Linked DNA regions of Rhinolophus ferrumequinum. The protein of the gene in region 3 interacts with the protein of the main gene of each other region in a biochemical or structural test. Links are inferred from orthologs where the notes say so. Each region holds a gene or a part of one and is shown on either strand. Other genes may lie near its edges.

The links.
Region 1: the proteins of BCL2L2 (region 3) and BIK interact in a biophysical measurement, tested with the Homo sapiens proteins (2 studies listed by BioGRID and IntAct, with this or other methods). The link is inferred for Rhinolophus ferrumequinum from reciprocal best matches to the Homo sapiens genes BCL2L2 and BIK.
Region 2: the proteins of BCL2L2 (region 3) and BAD interact in a biophysical measurement, tested with the Homo sapiens proteins (4 studies listed by BioGRID and IntAct, with this or other methods). The link is inferred for Rhinolophus ferrumequinum from reciprocal best matches to the Homo sapiens genes BCL2L2 and BAD.

Annotation. Positions count from the first base shown.
Region 1 is NC_046293.1:5,334,080-5,341,896, forward strand, and holds the start of BIK (bcl-2-interacting killer), read right to left. Parts: upstream 3,001-7,817; 5' UTR 2,906-3,000; intron 1-2,905.
Region 2 is NC_046294.1:7,137,521-7,145,138, forward strand, and holds the start of BAD (bcl2-associated agonist of cell death), read left to right. Parts: upstream 1-4,618; 5' UTR 4,619-4,726; exon of another isoform or gene 4,727-4,853; intron 4,854-4,993; 5' UTR 4,994-5,001; coding exon 5,002-5,188; intron 5,189-7,618. Other genes in the region: integral membrane protein GPR137, read right to left, coding at 65-224, 536-654, 773-901, 1,156-1,305, 1,424-1,649, 2,363-2,412, 2,496-2,874, 3,011-3,219. UniProt on the Homo sapiens protein: Promotes cell death. Successfully competes for the binding to Bcl-X(L), Bcl-2 and Bcl-W, thereby affecting the level of heterodimerization of these proteins with BAX. Can reverse the death repressor activity of Bcl-X(L), but not that of Bcl-2.
Region 3 is NC_046289.1:73,759,167-73,767,083, reverse strand, and holds the start of BCL2L2 (bcl-2-like protein 2), read right to left. Parts: upstream 3,001-7,917; 5' UTR 2,796-3,000; intron 2,698-2,795; coding exon of another isoform or gene 2,281-2,697; exon of another isoform or gene 738-2,280; intron 1-737. Other genes in the region: PPP1R3E (protein phosphatase 1 regulatory subunit 3E), read left to right, coding at 2,281-2,697, 3,001-3,423. UniProt on the Homo sapiens protein: Promotes cell survival. Blocks dexamethasone-induced apoptosis. Mediates survival of postmitotic Sertoli cells by suppressing death-promoting activity of BAX.

The DNA.
Region 1 (7,817 bases), on a different chromosome or scaffold from region 3:
AAACAGGTTTACCACGCAGTGCCCAGCGAGGCCTGGTGGATGTTTTGTGTTGTCACATCCTAATATTGACACTAGGAAAAGCAGCTGCCCTCCCTGAGCCCGCCCAGTGCCATGGACACCAGGCCTGGCCTCGCTCCTGCCTGGGGCCCAACGAGCCTTATCTGCTTGGGTTCAGTACTTCTCCCAGGGCCCGGCCCCAACCAACCACAGTAGGACAAAGGGACGCGGGGGTGGCTGCACATGTCCACTTTGGACCGCTGCAGGCTTCCTGGTGGCCGCCAACAACAAAACCCGAGCATGCCGCGAACTTCCTTAAAACCTCTTGGAATTGTTCTGGGCAGAGAGAAAAACAGCCGACTCTTGTGGGAGCCACTATGTCCAAGGCAGGGGAAGCAAGAAGCCATTAACTGTCTACAAACTTAATAGCTTCACTACAAACAGGATGCTTTCCAGGGAGAGGATTGAAAATGCCTTTGAGGTCAGCTTCACGACACTGCTGAATGGAACCTTTCCCCAAAACCCTTCCGTTTATTAGAGAGAGACAATCAGAAGTGAAAAAAAATGTGCTAACAGTGCTCTCTGGTTTCTTTGCAGCTCAGCAAACCCAGCTTTTACACCTACTAACCACCTGAAACTAACAACGTTAACATGCTTACAACCTTCTATCCCGCTTCTCTCCCCAGTGTGCCCCGACTCTTGGCTATGACATTTGGGGCTCCTGTTCTCCTGGATGTAACTCACACCAAGTGAGCCCAAACGGGCCATTTCACACTGTCTTTGGTGTCCTCCAGATAATAAAATAACGTCCTAGGACAAAGGAACTGGTGGGAGGAGAGGGAGGGCTGCACCTGCAGATGAGAGAGTCAGGGCAGACTTCTCAGAGGAGGCAGCAACTGAGCTGAGCTAACAAAGAAGGATGATTCGTGTGACATCCACAGGGACCATGTTGAGCGTATCACTCCATTTATTTTAGGCCTCACACCATCCCATGGAAAGTGTCACAGGATCCCTGGTGCTTGGAGAAATACATATCCCTGCTAAGATAGTTCCCACCCAAAAGAAAAAAAAAAATCAACTGGTGGCCAACTTACAAGGTTGATTAAATGTGTTCTCCCTACCCAGGAGGACATTCTGAGGCACTGGCTGAAAGTCCAGAGCTTGAAAGGCAGTCTCCCCAAACATTTCAGACGTTTAAAACCCAAAACAAGCAAAAATAAACTTGTACAACCTAATGTTGGCAAGGCTGGAAAAGCCACAGCTAAATCAATCAGTGACAACCCTGTGACCTTGAGGTTCAAAAAATGGGGAAATCCCCAAATCCTGGAGTGAAAAGAGAGGAGAAGAGTGGAGAAGAGTAAGACAGTGGTGAAGAGCACCACACAACAGCCAGATGCCAACATTGGGACCCAGGCCCAGCCACTGCCTCAGACAGACCAGTTAGGGAAGATGTGCAAAAACAGCACCAATAAGTACAAAAATGTGCCACTCCTAAGGATTTGTTCCTAAGGCATGCCCAAAATAAGTAGAAATAAGTTTAAAGTGTTAACTCCAGTCAAAAACAGCCAATACTTGGGTAGGTGTTCTCTACACCTGCTAGGAAACCTCATGGACCCATTTTACAGAATGAGCAAACTGAGGCTCAGAAGTGGAGTAACCCGTGTAGGACAACACAGGTGAAAAGTGGCTGAATGGAGGAGGGTTTTGGCATGGCTTCCAGAACACAGCTCTGGGCTTTACATGCTAGACAGCATTTAAATTGCTTCCTGGAACTTAAGTCACAGTTTCTCCATCCGTAAAATCAGGTTCCGTCCTGGGAGTGCAGCCAGCATAGAACTCAATCGTCTATCCCCTTCCTAATGGGGGAAGGATAAGACTGAGCACCTCCCTTCCTGGGAAGGTGGAGCGAAGCTGACCAGGAAAACCCTTTCGCGGGCCCAGCCGCAGCAGGTGCTCCAAAGAAAAATGTTACAGCAGCAGCAGCAGCAGCAGCAAAAACAACAACGTCCCACCGCCCGGGGTGGCACATTGTAGCAAAAATTACAGTAACAATTAACGGTTTACAAAGTGATTTGCAGCCAGGAGGCCTAAGCGCGTCACACAAGTCCCAGCCCCGAGCTCCACAGGGGCTCACTCGGGCCGAGTGGGGCAGGCCCTGCCGGTCACCGGATGGAACGCGCCCTGCGGCCCCCCAAGAGCCGAGCGCCGGCCGGCCGGCTCGCTGTTCACGAGACCAGGCCGCAGCGCCCCGGCCGGTCCGTGCGCGGCCACCCGCAGGCGCACCTGTAAAAGGCGCACCTGTGCAGGTCGCGGGCAGGTGGGGTGGCGGCCGCGCCCGGGTCGCGCAAGTTCCTGCTCCGGACTTCCCCCCGCGCCCCGTAGTCAAGCCTGTCTCCAGCCCTTCGCACGTACGCGGCGACTCGGGTCCCGGCGGGGACAGTGCCCGACGCCATCTTCTCTTTTTTAGTGGACACCGGGCTGGGTCGTCGCAGCCCGAGGCTGCCAGTCCCGCGCTCTGGCCCGGTGCACGGCCCGGGAGGGCAAGGGAGCCCGGCCCCAGGAGGCCGCGCAGGAGAAAGGAGCAGGGCAACCGGGCATCCGGCCCTCCGGGCGGGGCGCGGAGAGGCCGCCCATCGCACTGATGCTGAGACTGAGGCCCGCGCGGCCGCGGCTGGAGCCCCCGCCAGAAAGGGGACGTTTCGGAGCCAGGGTTTTGAGACGTCGTCCGCAAGTGACACACCCGACAGCTGCCCTGGACAGAAAAACCTGGTCACGGGTCCCCAACCTTTCAGCCGCTCTGCACCCAGGATGGCAGCCTGGGCGCTTACCTGCCGGGCTCGGGCTGGGCGGAGGGGGCGGGCGGCAGCAGGGTTAAGGTCCCCGCAGGGGAGGCAGGCCTTGTACTCACCTCGCGTCGGGGGTAGCGATGCTGTTGGCGGCGGTGCCGGGAGAACTGCAGCAAGGAGGCGTCCTGTGTGCAGCTGGCAGTCCGCGTGCAACCGTATAAACCGCCAGCCCCGCCCCTGCCCGCCCCCGGGGCCGCCTCTCCAGTCCCAGCGCGCTGAATCCAAGACCCAGGTAGGTACGAGTAGCAACACAACTGCTACAAGTGTGATCTGTTTACTTGTTTACTTCTCTCTGCCGCCTACTACTTGCAAAGTTTGTTTTGCCCTGTGCACTGCTTTCCAAGCTCGGGCTGCACACAAGTAGGCTCCGAGGTATGCAGGTGGTTGAATCCACTGGCCGAATTTGGGTATATAACCCAGGATCTTTACGTGGGTTACCTACCTCCTTTCCTCTTCAAAGCAGCCCTAGGGCTTGGTGCTTTTTTCACGCCTGTTTTACCGATGGGGAAACGGAGACTCAAAGAGGAGAAAATTACTTAGTAAGTAGCAGCGTGAATTCAAGCGCTCCAGGAGTCCTACTCTTTGTGCTGGCAGCCTCAGGAGTGAGGTTTGGTTTCGTGTTTTTTATTTTTTTATTGTGATAAAAATACACATAAGATTTACCATCTTAACCATTTTTAAGTGTACTGTTCAGTGGCATTAAACACATTCATAATGTTTACAACCATCACCATCCTCTCCAGAACTTTCCATCTTGTAAAATAAACCCGATACCCATTAAATAATAACTGCCATTCCCCCTTCCCCGTTCCCCTTCCCTGGGAGTTAGGTATTTTTAAGTCTGTTTTAAGTCTATTTCACAACTGTGAAAACTGAGACTCAAGCTTTGTTAGAAACAGCATCACAGCATCCTACCCAAACCTGGGGTCTTCCCGCCCCACTCCTCCCCCACTGCCTCCTTCCAGCCGCACCAACTCATCGCAGCCCCATTTCCCTGCCTCCAGTAGAGGGGCCGGATGCCCTCCTTGGGGGCTCCTGGGCTCATGGGAAACGCGGGGGTGGGGTGGGCAGTGAGGCCCCCAAAGCTCCCAGAGGAGGAGGTGAAATCAGAAAGTTTCCAGGTGGGGTGGGACCTAGCCCTGGGGCTGGTTAGGGAGGGGTGGGGTAAGGTCTGTGTCGGAGGTGGAGGGAGGCAGGCTGGAATTACAAAGTGACCATTGTCCCAGGAACACAACAACAAGGCTTGTTTACCTCAGTCCTGCAGCCTCTGAGGGCAGGGGAGCAGCAGGGTCAAGAGGGGCTCCCCTCCTCCTAGTTCTGCCATTTGCTACCTGGTGGAGCCCCCCTCACCCCTTCTTCCCACCTGTGAAGTGAAGACAGTGTTACCTACTTTTCCCTTAGTGTTCTCATCTGTGAAATGGGTTGACAGCACTGACCTCCCCCCTACACACACACACAACACTCCCAACCCCCATTCCCCAGCTGGGCTGTAGGGGGCCTCTGGAGGAAATAATCCTAAAATGTTTAGTAAACTATGCAGAATAATTTAAGTTTTAAGGCCCCTCCCTCCAGTTGGGGCGCCTCTGGCCTCTTCTGATGTTATAATCCTTTCTTTAAGGCCTCCCAAATCACATCATCTTGAGCCCCACAAAGCATGGATGTCTTGACCCTGGCTAATAGCTGCAGGGTGCCTTACAGGCAGGAGGGAGACCTCTGCAAAATAGAGGCTGCTCTCCAAATGCGTTCTGCAAATGAAAAAACAGACTTGGAGGGAAAGCAATGACACAGGGTCTCATGAGACAAAAAGACCTGATGTGTGTGAAAATGCCTCCAGAGGGGTCTCAGTACCAGGCACACAGCCGGTGTTCAGTAAACAGCAAAACTGATGGAGGAAGGGGAATAGTTTGGAGAAAGGTGGGGGATGGAAAAGCTCAAGGCAGGGGTGGGTAAGACTATTTGCCTTGCAAGGTCCCAAGATAATATGCTGATCAAATGGACGGGAGGAGGAAAACACCTTTTGAATAAGAATTGGGCCTGTAAAGACCCTGGCTTCTTATCATCCAAAACAGGCCCTGGGTTAGATTGTGCATGATAATAGCAGTAACAATAATGATGGCAGCCCTACCACTTGTTCAGGTCCCCTTATCTCAGGGCTAAGCACTTTCTGTCTCCTCTAATCCTTACAACTGCCCCATGGGGCTGGCCATCTCATGTTACAGACTACAGAGCACCCACAAAGGGTCTGTGCACAGGTAAGAGAGAACTTATGGCCCCATTTTACAGATGAGGAAACTGAGGCTCTGTAAAAGGAATGCCACTTGGCACCTAGCCTGTGGGAAGCAGAGGATGATTCAAGCCCGGGTCTCCCTACACCTCCTGCAGTGCCCTTTCCACCCTCCGTCCTGGGCCTCAGTTTCCCATTCTCCATTGGGATTTGCTGGTGTGTCCCAGGGCTATCGGGCTGGGTGTGGACCCAGCTCTCTAAGAGAAGACCATGACCCAGTGGGGCAGCCCCTTTTTTCCCTGGGGGCCTCCATCCTGCCAGCCAAACCTCTCCTGTTGAGGCCATTACCAGTTTTCTGTGGTTTAGGGACGTGCTGCTCAGCAGGCCCTCTGGCACCAATTTAGGGTTCAGTTTTGTCCTTAATACAACTTTTTTTTTTTGTCATTCATATAACAGGTATTGATTGGCACCTACAAAATATCAGGTAGCGTGATAGATGATGGGAATCTAGAGATGACGCTTTCTAGTCAGAAGCCCACATCCTAGTGGGAGAGACAGTGGAGATGGGACTCTGGGCAGCTTGGCACAGAGCCCGCACTCGAGGGAGAGTAAAGCCAGGTGATGAGTGGAGAGTGGGGCAGGGAAGCTTTCAGCCAGGGTGGTCAGGGGAGCCTCTTGAGGATGTAGACCTTAGTACAAAGACTTGAGAGAGGTGAGGACGCGGGACTTCCAGGATGGAGAACAGTCCCTACCCAAGTCCAGGGCGGGGTTGGGGGATGGGGGAGCAGCAGTGGCTGGCCAAGCATGTTTGCCAAGTGCTGGCCTCAGCATCCAGGGCCCACCTGGGGAAGCCAGGCGCCAGCACAGGTTTTCAATGACCCTGTTTTTCCACTTGCCATCCCAGACTTTTGTCCCCAGCTTTGGGACACCTTATCTGGAAAATCCTCCAGCTTTGAGAGAGGCTTTGTAATATCAGGAGGGACCCATCAAAGGGCTTTGCAGTTCTCTCCACAGTTGGGCCTGAGCTCCCTACCGGGAGCTAGAGCAGCCTAATGGCCATTTCACCTGCAACCCCCCTGGTGGACGCCTCATAGGGGTACCTTCGCAGGACGAAGGCCATCCAGAGCCTAGTGTTGCCTGGGTGATTCCATGCCCCTGCTGGCCCTCTGCAGGGTAGGTCTCCCCATTGCACAGATGAGGAAACTGGGCCTCGGAGAGCGATCCTAGCGGGTCCCAGGCCACACAAACAAGAGATTGAAGGCCTGGGGCTCCAACCCAGGTCTCTCTGGCCCATCTCACTTGGAGGTCTGTAGCTGGGCTTCAGGAAATCTGTGAACCCCCTAAAGTGAAGCGAAATTGTGGTTGGGGTATAAGCCTTTTCCGGGAAGGGAACCTGCAGCCTGGTCGGTGAGAGCCAGGACGCCAGGAGTCACTCAGCCTTGAGTTTTGAATCCTGGCTGCCTTAGTCCCATCCCCTGTGAAATTCCCCACGTCCCAGGGCTGCTGTCAGGATGAAAGTCTATGCAGTCCTCAGCGTGGTGCCTGGCACACAATAGGTGGTCAATAAAACCAGAGGCTGTTATTGAAGGAGCCTGTAGGAACTGGTGAAGAGTTTAACATTTGTACAAAAGAAACTGTATCTGAGAGATGCATCCTCTGTTAAATGAAATAACACACCTTGCAAATCAGTGTGTCCAGTACCATCCCCCATTTTTTAACACATCCACATCTAAAAGTCTGGAAGGGCGTGTAGCACTGCAAAATGGGAATAGTGGTTGGTCATCTCTGAGCGTAAGGATGATAGGTGGCTCCGGTTTCTGCCTCGCGTTTTTCTGTATTTTCCAGACTTTCCGTATAGACGTGTATTAACTTGGTAATCAGGAAAACATCGCTTCCTATTTTTAAAGAAGAGGAAGAAAACTGTTTGGTGTTGTCCCAGGCTAGAGCTGAGCCAAAGACAATGGCAAATGCCTAGCCCCCAGTGAGACAAAATTGGGACACGAGGACATAGTGGGTCTCAGACAGAAAGTGCCTCAGGAGAGGGAAAACTAAGAGCCAGCTCCTATAGAGGCCGCAAACATATCCGGAAAGGCTTCCTGGAAGAGGAAGTACTTGAGGGCACCTTGGAGAACAGGTATAGAAAGGTGGGTTTGGCCCTACTGTCCTGTGGGTACCGGGGAGCCATGGAAGGGCTTTGAGCAGGAAAGGGACTAGATCTTCAGGAATTGGAATCTGGAAGCCCTGTGCTGCAGACTGGAGGGGAAATGATGCCCAGAGTCTCTGAGAGTGCCCAGGGCTCTTGAATGGAGCATCCCAACCTCCGTGCAACTGGCAGAAGTGCCCAGGCTGCCCTCTCCCCCTGCAGCTGGCTAGCAGCACCTCCTTCACTTTGTGGTCTGCACATCCGGCCCATATGACTCCACAGTCAGTGGGGCCCTCTGTGGGCAGAACTGTTGGGAAGCCTTATTACATTCCCATTGTACAGGCAAGGAGACTGAGGTCTGGAGAGGCCAGCTGAGCTGCAGGGTAGAGGGGCATGGATGCTGGGGGATGAGGGGTAAGGACTTCCCTTCTCAGCTATGTGAGCTCCAGCACGGCCTAACACATCGGAGCCTCAGTTTCCCTTACTTTCTGGGAAATGGGGAGGGCAACACCCAACCCAAACGGTTGTTGCAGGCAGTGCCTGACAATCATCATTCCTGTCCGAGGTCATGTAGGAGTTGGGGGTCACTGTGTCCCTTCTTCCCTCA
Region 2 (7,618 bases), on a different chromosome or scaffold from region 3:
TGGCACAGGGGCCTGGGGTGGGAGGGACTGGGGTCTGGGTGTTCTGGGGAGAGGTGGAGGAAGATCACGTCTGTGGGGTAGAGTAGAGGCTGTGGTGGTGGCTGCTTGGTCCCAGCACCTGGGAGAAGAGCAGAGGAGTGGTCCGCGTCTGGCTGCCCCCGCACCAGCCTGGCTCCCGCCCGATGGCGCCGTACCAGTTGCTGGAGCCTAGGCTACCAGACATGCTATAGGCAGAGAAATAGGGTCAGTCCCAAGGCAGTGACCAGGGCCATATTCCTAAGAGTTGGGGGAGAGAGGCTTAGAACGGAGCCCAGTGATCCAGACCTCCAAGACCCAGGGCTTTAGCCCTGCAGACTATGACAAACTGCATCCTCAGGGCGAGAGGTGGAAACCAGAGAGGCCCCCCCAGGACAGATGGAAACAAAGACCACGGCCGGAGCTGGGAGCTGGGTGACAAGACCTGGCTCTAGGTCCCCATGGCTCCATGGAGCAAGCCGGGAGCCCATGGATCCTGAGATGGGGTCCGGGCTCCTACCTGGTGCTCTCGCCCCGGCTATGCTCCCAGGAGCAGCCCTCGTCCTCGCAGTGCCCAGCCCGGTCGAAGAAGTAGGAACGGGAGCCAAAGACCTGCCCATTGAGGATGCGGCTGGTGCTCTAGGGAAGGAAACTGCCATTGATATTCTCTCCTATCCACCACTGACCTCCCATAACCCACCAACTCCAGGCCCCAGCCCAGGGAGTCCCAGTGCCACCCCTCTCCGCTGGCCCTCACCAGGTCCTGTGGAGGCCGGTGCACCCGGAAGAAGCCCACCAGCAGTGTAGTGGGTAGCAGCTCCCACACAAAGAGGATCAGGCCAAACACCAGGTAGCCTTTGTTCCCCAGGTCATTCACCAGGTCCGCCTGTGGGAAATCAGAGGCTTGTGGCAATCTGCAACTGAGCCGGCGGGGCACCTGGCCAGGGCCCAGGCCAGCTGGGGGCCAGGAGCCATGGCTACTACCGTGTTTCCCCGAAAATAAGACTGGGTCTTATATTAATTTTTGCTCCAAAAGACGCATTGGGGCTTATGGTCAGGGGATGTCATCCTTAAAAATCATGCGAGCGCTTGTTTTTGGGGAAACACGGTAAGGAGGCAGCAGATGTGCCCAACACCCACCTGGTCAGAGACGTTGTACCAGTCATAATCGAAGGCATCCAGTCGGCTCCGAGGGGCCAAGGCCAGGGCTGCCAGGTTGTAGCAGGCTCGACTGGCATAGAGTAGGACCATGGCACCACCCATTGCAGCAGCCTGGCACACACTGGTCCCCTGGCACAGATGACAACAGGGGACCCTCAGGGAGGGGAGGCTCCAGCTTCCCCTCTACCCTGAAGATCAATGTCCAAAGACCCCAAAGGACACCAGGCATCAGGGCTTGTGACCCTACCTTGGCCTCCAGGTAGATGCTGGTGGAAGGAGCCCGCCGGGCGACAAGGCAGAGGCAGGCGGCAAGAGAGAGCGCGCAGATAACAAAGAGGGAGTCACTCACTAGGACTCGAACCAGCAGGAGGGCCCAGGGCTGTGCCCGGCGCTGGCGGGACAGCACAGCACACAGCACATTCACCAGCAGAAAGAGCAGCGAGGCCCCCACGAAGGCCCCTCGAACGGCCAGCCTGCAGCCCACAGCACAGTCAGCGCCAGCCTACCACCCTTGATGCTCACCCACCACCCAACCTCCCCCAGGAGACCCACTGCCAACCAGAATCTCAGGGCATCCAATCTGAACCCTACTCCTTCAGTTTTATAGATGGGGAAACTGAGGCCCAAGGAAGTAAGAAGGGGACTGATACCTGTGGTACAGTGGAAGGAGCAGCAGATGGGAGTCAGAAATCTGAGTTTAAGCCCTGGCTCTGCCTCCAGCCAGGTCTATGACCTTGAACATATTGCTTTACCTTTATGGGCCTCGGTTTCTTCATCTCTCAAATGGGGATAATAATAGCCTCACACATAAATTGTAAAAATTAAAGCTGTTTGTGAAAGTTCTTAATAAACTGTAAGATATTATACAAATGACAGGAGTATTGCCATCCCAGGTCACCCAGAATTGCTTTGGCTTTGGAGCTTTCAAAGGCTAGGGCCTCCAGCTCTGCCTCCATTATGGATGACACTGGTACCCATTCCCCTCCCAGTTTCTATTATTGTTGCCCTTCACATATGCAATGTCTCTGCTGAGCCATCTGTGACAGGTGCTTCACTTTTCCAAGTTCTTTCACAAACATTCCCTGGGTTGTCCTTGCTTTAGCCCTGCTACGGGGGAAGGAATGGACACCAGGCTGTCCCCTGCCCCTGGCCTGGAGACTGAGCCACCAGTGTCCCAAGTACTTACAAGCCTCGGCTCATCTCTGGCCGACGCTTCGCCTTGGCCTTGAACACCACCTGGGAGCAGAGATGCCCATCATTCCTTTCGGTCCTTGGGGCTTGCCACCCTACAGCCCACCCCCACTCATTACCACAGTTACCTGGGCAAAGTAGAGATTCATAAGCGTCAGTGTGAAGAACTGCAGGCAGACAGGGCAGCAGTAGAGAAGCCAAAAGGGCAGGGGCCCCAGGCGATTGGCTCGAGGGGTATCTCGGAAGTAGAAGGAAAAGAGGGTGGTACGCAAGGCAGCCCAGAGCAGACAGAGTGCCAGAAACACCGTCTGATAGCTGAGTCGCTTGTGCCCATACAGGAGTACCAGCCAGAGCTGGGCATAGACGGAGAAGAAGAGCAGGGCATACAGAATCGTATAGGCCGCAGTCAGCCCCAGGGTCACTGCCGGTGGCAGCGCAGGCACCAGCCCAGCAGCAGGCACCAGGCCAGACAGGTTACTCTCCATGTCAGGGAGGGCGGCCTGAATCCTGAGACAGAGATGGAAGGGCTGGCAGGAGGCCAGGAAATAAAAATAAATAGGGGGTGGCGGTGGGAGTTGCAGGGTGCAGAGACAGCAATGGGGGAGCTCAGGAGGAAAGAAGTTGTGGCGGGCCAGGCTCTCACCAGCAAGAGGTTGCGAGTGTTCGCCCTTGTGGTGGGGCAGAGGCAGCCTGGCACTTGGCCCTGGGCCCCTCACTCAGCAGAGTGGAAAGGCAGTCTCTTCTCCAGGGCTGAGGGGGAAGGTGGGGAGTGTCCCCTCCCTGGGTCAGTCTTGAGCCAGGAGCTGAGGGGTGCAGAGGCTGAAGGACAGAGGTCCTTGGCCTCTCACTCATGTAGTCCTGGCAGGAGGGGGAGAGCCGGCCGATGCCGGTAGCTCAGGACAGCGGCCGCCGCAGGGGGCGTTCAACACCCAGCTCTCCCCTTCCTCAAACTGGGGGGGGCTCTCTCTCCTCCAATAATCCGGATAGGATAGGGGGGTCTCTGCCTTCTGTCTTCGGGACTCCGGACGCTGCCCCCAACCCACCCCCCACTGCGTCCACTCCCCAACCGCGGGAGTCGGGAGGAGGTCGACACCAAGCCCTTAGACCGCCCCTGGGGGAGCCGGATCCGGCCGCTGGGACCCGGGACTCCGGCTCCCCGGCTCCGCCCCCTCCTGCGCCTGCGCGGATACCGTTCACTACGCAAATTGCGCAGGATCCAACCCCCGGCTCTGAACCCTGCGCCGCGCCCGGCGTGCAGTCGTTCGAGAATGGGCGCGAGCTACGCCGCTAGCGGGCGCCAAGGGTTACAAGAGGCGGCGCGCGGTCGAGGAGCCGGGGCGGCGGTAGATCCGGCCGGCGCCGGGATAGGCCGTTCCCGGGGCCAGCGGCCCTTGCTTGTTTGCGGGGCTGCCCGTGGGCCCACCGGCCTTTGCTTATTTGCGGGGCCGCCAATTCCTACGCGTTTCTTCCCCATTCCCAAACCGAGATCGCGCCGTCAGGCGGAGGGCCGCAATGACTTCCCCTCGCCCGGTCTCTGAAGGAAACTTCCGCCCACAGCCAAGATGGCCCCCGGGCCCCGCCCTCTGGCCCTGAACCCGCAAAGCCCGTAGTTCCCGCTCACCTGGCGGGCCGCCTGCCAGGCGCGAAGCCCCCGCGAGTCCTACGGCCACCTTCACAGGGGTCCCTATCCCTTCTCCTGAGCCGGGACAGTCATCCTGCCAGAGAGGAGGCTCCCTCTCTCATCTCGAGTGTTCCTCAGATGGCGCGGGCAGTGGTGCCCCTGATGCGGGCACTGCGAGGTTTCCACAGTGGGGAGGAGGGATTCAGTCACCCAGTCTAGACGGAGCAGTGACAACAACAACAACAATGCATCCAACGGCTGAGCTTCAGTTACGGCTTTGCAGAGTGCTTTCACCAACTGTAATCACTCGGTTTACAAAGTTCACTGGCTCCCGAGGGAGGTGTCATTATCTCCACTTTACAGGGGTGGAAACTAAGGTCCAGAGGGGCTGAAGGACTTGTCAGCAGAAGCTAGTCCCCAGGTTCCAAATTCTCTGGCGACCCCAGAGAATCCCTTATCTGCTCCCACACACGCCCCAGGCACGAGGAAGCCGGTAGAAGAGCATCCGGAGGCGAAGGAACTCAGGAGGAAGGCGTTGGGAGGGGAGCAGGTCCTCAGGCAGGGGCGGGGCCCAGGCCGAGAGTGGCTCCGCCTCCTAGCCAGCCCTAGTGACATTTCAGTAGCTGATTGGGCTGGGTCGATGACAGTTCCCGTTGCCCAGGCAACTAGGGCAGGGCTCCCCCAGTGCTGTGGAGGGAGGCGCAGGCCCCGGTCCGGGGCCTCGAGATCGGGCTTGGGGTGAGACTGGCTTGCGGTCACCACCGGCGGGTCGGGCCGGGTCGTGGGGCTCCACAGCACCAGGGCTCCGAAAGGAGATTTAAGTCCTGGGTGGACAGGCTGAGCTCCCTGCCCAGCCAGACTCAGTGTACAGATGGGGGCCTGGGAGGCAGGGCGGACCTGGGGTTCTAAGGTGGGAGAGGGAACCAGGGACGCCTGCTCCCCGGCCGCCGCTGGCCACCGTTTGTTCCAGTTGTGCCCTAACTACCTGCCATCTTGCCCCCACAGCCCAGAGCATGTTCCAGATCCCAGAGTTTGAGCAGAGTGAGCAGGAAGACTCCAGCCCTGCAGATAGGGGCCTGGGCCCCAGCCCCACAGGAGACCAGCCCCCAGGCCCAGGCAAGCACCTGTGTACGGCCCCGGGCCTCCTGGGGGAAGCTGGTCACCAACAGGGACAGCCAGCCAGCAGCAGCCACCATGGAGGTAGGCACCGCCCCACAACAACCTGCCTGTCCACTTTTGCCCCCAGCCCGGGAGCTCCTCAGCATCTCAGCTGTATCCATACTCACTGGGTAGCTTTGAGTGAGTCCCTAACCTCTCTGCGCCTTAGTTTCCTCTTCTGTAAAACAGAGCAATTAGTCACCACCATTGTCGGGCTGTTAGGATGATTAGCAGAACATATAAGAAGTACTTAATTACAGTGTTGGCACTTACAAAATACTCAAAGAATGTAGTTGTTAGTGTAGGACCAGAACAAATCACTGAAAGGCAGGCAATGAGCCAGAAAAGGGAAGTGACTTGCCTAAGGTCACACTTGTTTAGCGGTTCCTTTGGTAGGAGGCAGGGCTGAAGTCTCTGAGGTACCTGCCAGAGGCTGCCAGCCCCCAGGTCTGTTTTCAATCCACCCTGTTCTCATGCCCACTCCAGGGCTATCCTTGCCAGTTGCCAGGGGCAGCTGACCTCAAGAGGCAGATAGCCCTACCAAGAGTCTGTGTGGCGGTGAGGAAGCATAGGCTGTCTTCCACACCCACAGAAGGGGGCCCAGCGCCCAGACAGACGGATGGGCACTGGAGGACAGTGGCCATTTCTCAGTAGTCTCCACTCCCCAGGGCCCAGCACAGGCCTTGGCACAGGAACCACCTCAGAGATCTTCTGAAAACAAAAACCACGTCCCTTGCCTGCTGAAGCCCAAATGACTTCCTCCCTATTTTTAGGACCAAGAAGGCTTAGTAAGGCCTCCTCTTGGCCCATTCACACACACTCTGTCAGACTAAACTCCAGACTTTAACTTCCAGATCTTTGTACTTGCTGTTTTTCTGCTCACAACAGCTTTCCACCCTCACCTGGCTGTTCCTGCTCTATATCAAGTGCTTAATCTGTGCCCCAGCTGTCCCAGCTGCCAGGGGCACATCAGTGAACAGAAGAGATAAAAGTCCTTGCCCTTATGGTGCCTATATTCCAGTCGGTGGGGAGAGACGGGCCATAAAGAAACAAACGAGTAAATGATATAACGTGCTAGAAGATGGCACACACTGGGCAGCAGTGTGAGAAAGTCTACTTTCTCTGGATCTGATGTACTGGGGGCCAGGGGAGCAATGTGAATGGAGGTGGCCAGGGTCAGCCTTGGTGAGAAGCAACATTTGACCACAGGCTGAAGGGGATGAGGCGGGAACCACTCAGATATCCGTGGGGAGAGATCCTGACAAGGGAAAGGCTAATGCAAAGGTCCTGAGGCCACTGTGGCCCAAGGGGACAGGGGTGGCGGCGGGAGCTGGAGATGCTGGAGTTAATGGAGGGGGAGGGGGAGCTGAACAGGGCCTTAGTGGCTTTGGCTCTTCCTTTGAAAACATGGGAGGGCTTTGAGCAGAGTGGAGTGATCTGATTTGGGCATCAAGAGAATCACCAGGGCTTGTGTTGAGACTGGTATGCAATGGGCAAAAGCAGTGCTGGGACTGCAGGGGAGTCTGCCTCAAGAGTCCCAAGGGAGGACAGTGGCTTGTGCGAGGGTGGTGACAGTGCAGGTGGTAAGCAGCTGGACTCCGGGTTTATTTTGAAGGTAGAGCTGGCAGGATTTGCTGGCAGATTGGATGTAGAGTTCCAGGGAAAGAGAGGAGTCAAGGATGGCTGCAAGAGGAATCTGGCCGGGGCATCTAGAAGGATGGAGTTGCTCTTAACTGAGATGGGGACAGGTAAGATCAGGAGCCCAGTGTGGGCCAGGTCCAGTTAGAGGTGTCTTTTGAGCATCCAGCTGGCGATTTCTAGAAGGGAAGGGTCCAGGCAGGATATCTGCATGTGGGAGTTGTCAGTCACTGATATAGTGTTCTGTGAGGCACAGGGAGCCACCCAAAAGTGAGGGTAGGCAAGGGGTGGGGGTTGAGGGGAGAGAGGAGCAGGTTTGGAGTCATCCTGGAGCGTGGAGCTGGGTGTGCCAGGCAATGTCAAGGGGGCCGCTGGGTTTCATGGCCGTGAATGTAAACCAAGCTGGTACATGGCTCCAGCCACAATGGCCGCTCAGGTGCCGGTGGGAGCTGGCAGGGGGTTGATGTTCACCAGAGCTATGTTCATCTCAGCCCAGCGAGAGAGGCAGGGCCTTGAGGCTGTGTGCAAGGGAGGGAATAGTTGGTGTGGGTGTAAGCTGGCTGGGTGGTGAGGAGAGGAGCCAACCCTGGAGTTCTCGCATCATTAGAGTTGGGGTACCAAGGGAGTGAGCGGACAGGGAGGAGGTGGTGGTGAGCCTGTGGGAAGCTTGTGATGGAATTATTGATGGTGACGGGGTCTAAGTTCTTGCCATGGGATGAGAGTGAGGGGAGGGGTGGAGACGGATGTCAAGGAAAGGAAAGGCTAGGAGGTAGGAAAGGACCACTTCTGTCCTATGAACGAATGAAGACAGGAATGGCAAAGGAGACAGTGGTA
Region 3 (7,917 bases):
TATGACTGTATCCTTTCAACCATCCTCATTTCTTCTTTGCTCTTAGGCTGATCATTCCTGCTTCTACCAGCAAGGTTGCTGCCTTCTTTTGAGAATAACCTAGTCTAGTTCTTCATTTGCAATATTTCTTCTAAGACATTTAATTGAAATAAAAATATTTTTAAGTCTCAGGGTCCAAATATATTTCTGTCTGCCCGCCATTTATTTATAAGCTCTGTGAGAGCAGGAACTGAAGTCTATTCACTTTTATGTCCTCAAGTCCTAACAGAACTTCAGTAAATGTTGACTGAATGAATCAGTCAATGCCTCTGGCAGTTATTAAGCAGGCCCAGTCAGATGTTTGAAGATAACTGCAGTGGCTGTTTAAGAAACAAAGACTGATTTGGAATAAAGGTTCAATGTCAGTCTGAGCTGCCAGGAGAACAAGGTGCTGGACCAACACAAATTACATCAGGTCCAAAGCTGTGTACCTCAAGGATCTTCTCAAACCAACACCACAGAGCCAAGGAATGGCAGCTCAACAGTAGACAAGGCAACAGAGTTTTTACCAGAAAACTTCACGCCACATAGGCTAACCTTGAACCTTATCTATTTCGTTAATGACATATTTTACCAGAGCAAGGAAGACAGTTTTAAACTGCTTGACTGTAAAACAAAGTAGTGTAACATTATTTTATACCCTAAGATATAAAAAGAATATTCCATGGGTTATACACATACCTATTAAATAAAAAAATAAAATTGAATCACTTTAAAAATCAGTCCTGGCTTGACAGTATTGTTATAGTTAATACTAAAGTTAAAATGCAAACAGGAATGAATTCTACAATAATAAGGTAGTATACGTCTCCCTGTTTATTTCCAACTTAGTCACTATTTACAGTTAAACTCTCCTGCTGTTTTAAATTTAGAGATTCCATTTCTATTCTAAGACTCCCCACTTCAATACTCTGAAAATGTTAACTATTACCATTAACTGTTTTAATCTTACATAAACAAGTAAATAAGAGAGTGGACTCCAGAGGTGGACTGCTGAGGTTCTAATCCCAGCTCCCTAATTATTATCTTATGTGACCTTGGGCAAGAGTCTTAGTCCCTCTCTCCATCAATTTTCTCATCTGTAAAAATAGCCATAATAAGACTCCCTGCTCCTATGATGGCTGCACGGTATGAGTTAATGTTTGTAAAACTATTACAACTATAAGTGCTATATAAGATCAGTGGGAAGTAGAAAAAAAAAATAAACAAAACTTCACATGCTCTTTTCACTAAAGTAGGAAAAAATGAAGAAAAACACCGGCCCTGTGCCCTTCTTGGAACCTCCCACTGGAACTAGAACCCTATAGTCCCAGCTCCAAGAGTGTGGTGTGTTCATTCATTCGATAATTTAAAGGCCTACTACTGTTATGAACTATCAGACACATGCTCTGTCCTCAAACGGCTTAGTCAGGTTAGAGATCAGAATTCGAACCCATTTTTTTACAGATGAGAAAACTGAGGTTACAGAGAAGTTGTGCCTTGCTCAAGATTACACCGCTAACTAGCACCAGAAGTGAGACCAGAAGCTTTGTCTTTCCACGACTTTTAGTTCAGAACTTTTTCCAATGGGCCACCCACCCTTGTGGGCCGCGTCTGTTTTTATTTGGGATTCTGCCTAGTTTTCATGACCTTCCCTTCTTTGCAACGCCCCCCCTCACCAAAACCTGTAAACTAGAGTTTAGACAACAGTGAGCCCTGCAGAGAAAGTCACACACTGAGCGCTTTGAACCTTCCCCTGCAAGAAAAGGAAATGTTACTCTTTACATCCTTCATTAACTCATCCCATGCCAAAAAGGTTGAGGTCGTTAAAAAAAATTTAAAAGGGCAGAGGGTCTCACCCAGGACGGAAAGGGTGGAGTCCCCGCCCCCTAGTGCAGCAACGCAGACAGATGGGAGCCACCTGTCAGAGGGCTGTGGGCGGGGGCCTGGGCCGCGACGGCCGCGAGACCCGAGGATGTGTGCTGCTGAGCGCACGCTCAGAGCAGACAGCTAGCAGGAGACAGGAGGTGATCGTCTAAGACCCTGGAAGCTGACGGCAAGAGGGAAGGAAAGGTAGTCACCAAGGCAAAGCAGAACTACGGGAGGTGGAGGATCCTGGAAGTGAAAGCAAGGAGAGTACGCAACTGCGAGGGGCGGTTGAAGCGGGCCGGCGGCTTCTGCGTGGACGCAGGCGAGTGGGCCATTCGGAGCGAGGTCACAGAGGCGGCGCTGCGGGCGGGCCCTGCCGGGGCGGGGGATGCCATGTCTCGAGAGCGGCCCCCCCGCACCGACATCCCCCGCAACCTGAGTTTCATCGCCGCGCTGACTGAGCGCGCCTACTACCGCAGCCTGCGGCCCAGCCTCGAGGAGGAGCCGGAGGAGGAGCCAGGCGAGGGCGGGACGCGCCTCGGGGCCAGATCGCGCGCTCACATTCCGAGTCGGGGCCGCCGGGCTCGCTCCGCACCCGCCGGAGGCGGCGGTGCCCGGGCGCCTCGCAGCCGCAGCCCCGATACCCGTAAAAGAGTGCGTTTCGCCGACGCGTTGGGGCTGGAGCTGGCCGCCGTGCGCCGCTTCCGCCCTGGAGAGCTGCCCCGGGTGCCCCGCCACGTGCAGATCCAGCTGCAGAGGGACGCCCTCCGCCACTTCGCGCCGTGCCAGCCCCGCGCCCGCGGCCTCCAGGTAGGCGGCAGGTGCACGCACGCCCTCTCCCTGGACCTCCCCATTTCGACCGCGGCGGGCATGGGGGAGTGGATTAATCAAGGAATACCCATATCCACCTCCACCCCCGGGATTGCTCTTGCACGTCCCTTTTGGGGCTCCCATTGGCGAGGGGCTATCGGCCACTCTCGCAGCTTGGCCGCACTCTGAGGGCCCGGACTTCGGGGTCGGCGTCGGATTGGTCCAATTACTCGCTATGACCCCGCCCCTCTCTGCCCTCCCTTCGCCAGGGCTCGGTGCTCCCTCTCCCTCTTTCGTCCCCAGGAGGCGCGCGCCGCCCTGGAGCCGGCCAGCGAGCCCGGCTTCGCCGCCCGCTTGCAGGCGCAGCGTATCTGCCTGGAACGCGCCGAGGCGGGCCCGCTGGGCGTGGCCGGGAGCGCGCGCGTGCTGGACCTGGCCTACGAGAAGCGCGTGAGCGTGCGCTGGAGCGCCGACGGGTGGCGGAGCCAACGCGAGGCGCCCGCGGCCTACGCCGGCCCGGCTCCGCCCCCTCCACGCGCGGACCGCTTCGCCTTTCGCCTGCCCGCGCCGCCCGTTGGGGGCGCCCTGCTTTTCGCCTTGCGCTACCGCGTGACAGGCCACGAGTTCTGGGACAACAACGGCGGCCGTGACTATGCTCTACGTGGGCCCGAGCACCCGGGCAGTATTGGAACCCCGGAGCCTCAGGGCTGGATTCACTTTATCTGAGACGCCTGCGGCCGACGGTGAAAAAACCAAAGGCACCTGGGGGCTAGGGGTGCCCAAAGATTTGGCGGGCTGCTGTCCGAGAGAGTCAAGTGCGGGAGACATCAAAGGGGTTTGGGGAGTGGGTGGAATCAGCGAAGGTCGGGGAGATAGGGGTGGAAAACACCGATTAGATGTGAGTAGACGGAACCCAAGGTACCGGAGAAAGGAGACCCGAAAGGGCGCTAGGAGGATTCGAAAAAAGCGAAAACTAAGGAGTATGGTGACGTTCTCTTCCGTGAGCAGGCACTGGGAGAAAGTTCGGCGGGCCTAGGCAGTGGAAGGTTAGGGCAGCCCTCTGGGGCTGAGCTGGTGTGTTGCGTGAAGTAGCAGCCCCCTCAGTTGAAGTCATTTAGATTGCTGGCTCTTTCCCTTATCTACCTTTGCCATCTCAGGTCCCCCAACCCTGTCCATCCTAGCTTTAACTCAGCTATAGTTGCCTTGCTGAAATCCCAGAAACTGGCCATTGCTCCCCAATCCCTGGCATTATGACAGGATTCCCTTGTCACCCCTGACAGTCCCTGGCTTGGGTATTGGAGAACTGGATGGGGAGTGATGGGAGATAGTAGTCAGAGCTCCCTCCTCCAGCCTCTTTGCAGCCCTGGGGGTGTGTAAATGAAGACAAAACCAACTCCAGACTTGTGCTTGTAGCCAAATAACGCGGCGGCTAATGGGTTGCTACACTCAGGGGCTTCCAGAAAAATGCCAGCCTTATTGTTCTGGGTGCCTTCTAATGACCTCTAAGCACTTTATGGACTGTATTTATCAACGGACTGTGAATCACAAGAATCACTATTCTGATTCTGCTCAAGACTAGGAAGTCACTGACTAGCTGTATAATTTTGGGCAAGTTCCTTCACCTTCCTGGGCCCCCGTTTCCTCCTGGGTAAATTGGATTTGGTTTAGGTGATCTCTTTTGGCCCTTTCTTGCTTTGACATTTTATGATCTGTGAGTAGCAGAGTGTAGATTAGAAGCCACGTTCTCCACCCTACAGTTGGAGTGCTACAGTTCAGAATGCACAGCACCCCGAGTGTTTGGTTGGGGCTGAGGATGGGTCCTCCAGTTTTTGACACAAATGTTCCAAGGCCAGGAAGCCTCCCCAAACCAGCCTGCAGCTTCTGGGTATTAAGGCTTCTTTCAAACCACAGCTCATCCTCTGCCTCTTGCTTTTTGCTCTGGCCCTCACAGACTTCCAGCCTGGATGCTCTGAGACAGCTTTTGGAAGGTCTCTTGGGGGAAATGATGATTGGGAGTCCCAAAGATGAAAGGAAATAATGTTGGGGAACTTGTGAGGATATGGGATTACGTGTATAAGAAATAGAAAGCACTTCAAGAATCAAAACAACTTGAAAATTAAATGGCACCAGAAGATGGCAGTGTGCTCCATATCCTGAGCAAGTGAAATGGGAAAGCTGGACTCTTACCCCTACACATTCATGCCATATGTCTCTCCTGGTTAACCTCTGCTAGTTGTTGGGGTTTTCCCCCCCCCTCTTACCCTATTCCTAAGCTCTGCTTTTCTCTTGTCCCTCTCTTTTCACTTCCATTTTTCTTTTAGCATAATAGAGTACTTACCTTCATTTTCTCTATTTCCAATTGCTTCCTTCTCATTTTTGTTGATCTGTGCTATTCCTTGTCCCTCCAGAAGGGGTGGAGAACCTACTTGCTTTTCTCCAAGACCATGGTAGATCCACCTTCCTCCTTCAGGCTCCTCCTTAACAGTCTTCTAGAAGGGAGAAGAGGGAAAAGAAGCAGTTCCTGATGCAAATGAACAAGGAGCTCCCAGGTAACCAGCTCCCCACCCCTTTATATCTGTTACTGATTTCTCAAAGAAAAATGTCTGGATCCCCTTCTTCCTTATCAGTAAGTGAGAGAGTGCATCAGGTGTACCTGTACAAGCATTCAGAATAGAGTATGGGGTTTGTTACCATGCCCATCCTACCTAAAGCCTTAATCCTTTGAAGAAAGATGCCTGAAAAAGAGGAACTCTGAGTCATTCCTCAAACAAAGGGCCATTTAAACATCATTCTTACCTGGTGAAAACAATTTCATACATCTTATGGATCACCTTCGGGTCAAAGTTCCAGCAGAGTGAAGAATGAAACTGTATTGGAAGCCACCAAGCAATGCACTTAGTTATCAGTGAAGAGCCCAAGGGAGGATGATGGAGAGGGAGACTGGGTCAAGGCTCAGGGTGTAGTAATCTTGCTTAATGTGTGTGCATTACTGTTATGTTGTATTAACAATCATAATAGCTCACATTTACTTACCCACTAAATCTGGTATCTTGCTTGCATTATAATCTTCAAAATAACCCCAGGAGTTGAGTAATATCATCCCTGTTTTAGAGAAGAGGGAACAGCTCAGAAAAACTCAGTAGTTTGTTCAAGATCATATAGCTAGTACAGGCAGAGCTAGGATTGTGAACCCAAAAAATCTCCAGAGCTCCAGTGCATAAACATGATGTTACATATTTTTTCCATTAAAAACCTTGCCATATATCATCTTATTAGGAAAATAACACAGTTTATAATAGTGCTCTGTCTTCCCATCCTCCCAGTCTCCCCAAGTGGCTTGGAGAAGGCAATGCACTGAGGGTCCCAAACTTCATCTGCTCCTTTTGGAGCTTGCTGTCTCCTATGCCAGTGTCCCAGATCTGAAGAATCAGCAAGGGACTAACTCGCCTGCCTGCTAGAGAACTTGGAACCCATTTGAACTATAGCCTTTCCATACAATGGGATTCTCCCCTGGCCTTAGTCAACCCTCCAACCTATTGGTGTGCCACCCCCTTCCCATACCCACCACTAGCCTTGAACAGGCCAATTGCCTAAACTTTCTCCTAGAAAGCTCCCCAACTAGGACTGGATGCTCTGTGCTCTGGCCGTCTCTGAGAGTCCTGGCATTACTGAGTGGAGAAATGCAAGCTGGTTGGAAGCAGGGAACCAAGGATAATCCATTGTTCCCTGAGCTCTTTCTCTGTAAGAAATACTGTGGCTCACTCATGCCCCCCGTTCTCAGCTTTACAGACCCAACACATAAGTCTTCTGGTTCTCATATAGTGCTGCTCCAGGGCCTTGGGGTGAGCTGACAGCCTAATCTGATAAGGTAAACAATAGGAATTTGGGGGAATCTGCAGGGATGTGTTGTGTTAGGCATTGTGGTAGGGACTTGCCTCTAAAGGCTGATGACTCGATGAACAGGAGCAATTTAGGGTATAACGTGAGCTGTGGAGTCGGAAGTGCCATGAGAAACCATGACCGTGGCCGGGCTTGGGTCCTTGAAGCAACACAGCAGGAGCACTGTTGCCCTTCCTCTCATCCAGACCTCAGAGGTCTGATAGCCTTCCTTCATTTCCTTTGTTTCTCGTTATGAATGTAGTTCATCATTTCTCTTCAGCATAACCCTTAACCCCTCAACTTTCCAATCTAACTCCCACATTCCTTGCTACTAACTCCTGTGTTTCTCTGGAGGTCCTCTGGATTCTTGTAATCCACATGTCATAGAATCAGACCTGGGAAGGCTTGTCTTTAGAGATCACTGGATCCTCCACGAGTAAGGACACAGATCCAAAGATGAGAAGTGACTCCCAACAGGGTCAGATGATTTTTCAGTGCAGCTTGAGATGGGGCTAACCTAGGCCTCCTGACCACATCCCATTTCCAGGGTACAAAATAGGGCTTTGCACAGTTAGATCCCCCCATTTTTCATGGCAAAGGATAACATCAGAAATGTTTCATTTTTGCTACTAGTTTCCATTCCCTTCCCCATCTAGGCATAAGGAAAAACAAAAGGGACTGGTAGTTTTTTGTGTGTCCCCAGCCGTGGCACTTCTTTGGTGATATTGCTAAAGAAAAATGAAGTTGCTGAAAACACTGAATAATCCACCCATTGAATAGCAGACCTGGAGAACTCAGGCCCTCCCAGAGCTTCCTCACCCCCTTCATAGTGCAGCCCTGTTCACTGGGCCCCAGACCCGCTAGTACTGTGCCTCACTTCAGCTGCCTTATGTACCTGCTCTCCCTTCTGGATAAAACACCTCATGTTTGAAATAAAGTTGAAATATGAAAAGAATGTATATCATCGGATATTGAAGTATTGTTTGTTTTGGGCTAAGGGTGGCAAAAGACCCAGCGACAAGGTTCTTCCCTCATACCCCCCATTTCTTGGTCATTTCATTTCTTAAAGGTCCTATTCCCTGTTACTGGAGTCCTCTGGATACGCAAACGTTGAGTGGGAAGGAAACATGGAGGAGTTGGGCAGCCCTGGTATAAGACACTCCACAAGATCCCACCACCATTTGGGGTAATGGTAGGGAAAGTTACCAGGGCCCAGCGATTTAGTTCCCTGGCACCCAGCACCAGTTGCTGGTGTAGTTAAAGGGAAGAGCTTGGGTAGAAGCCCCTAGTTTCCCCGTTGGTGGGGGTTCTTCCTTAAGGGGGCCATCTAAGTTACATTAT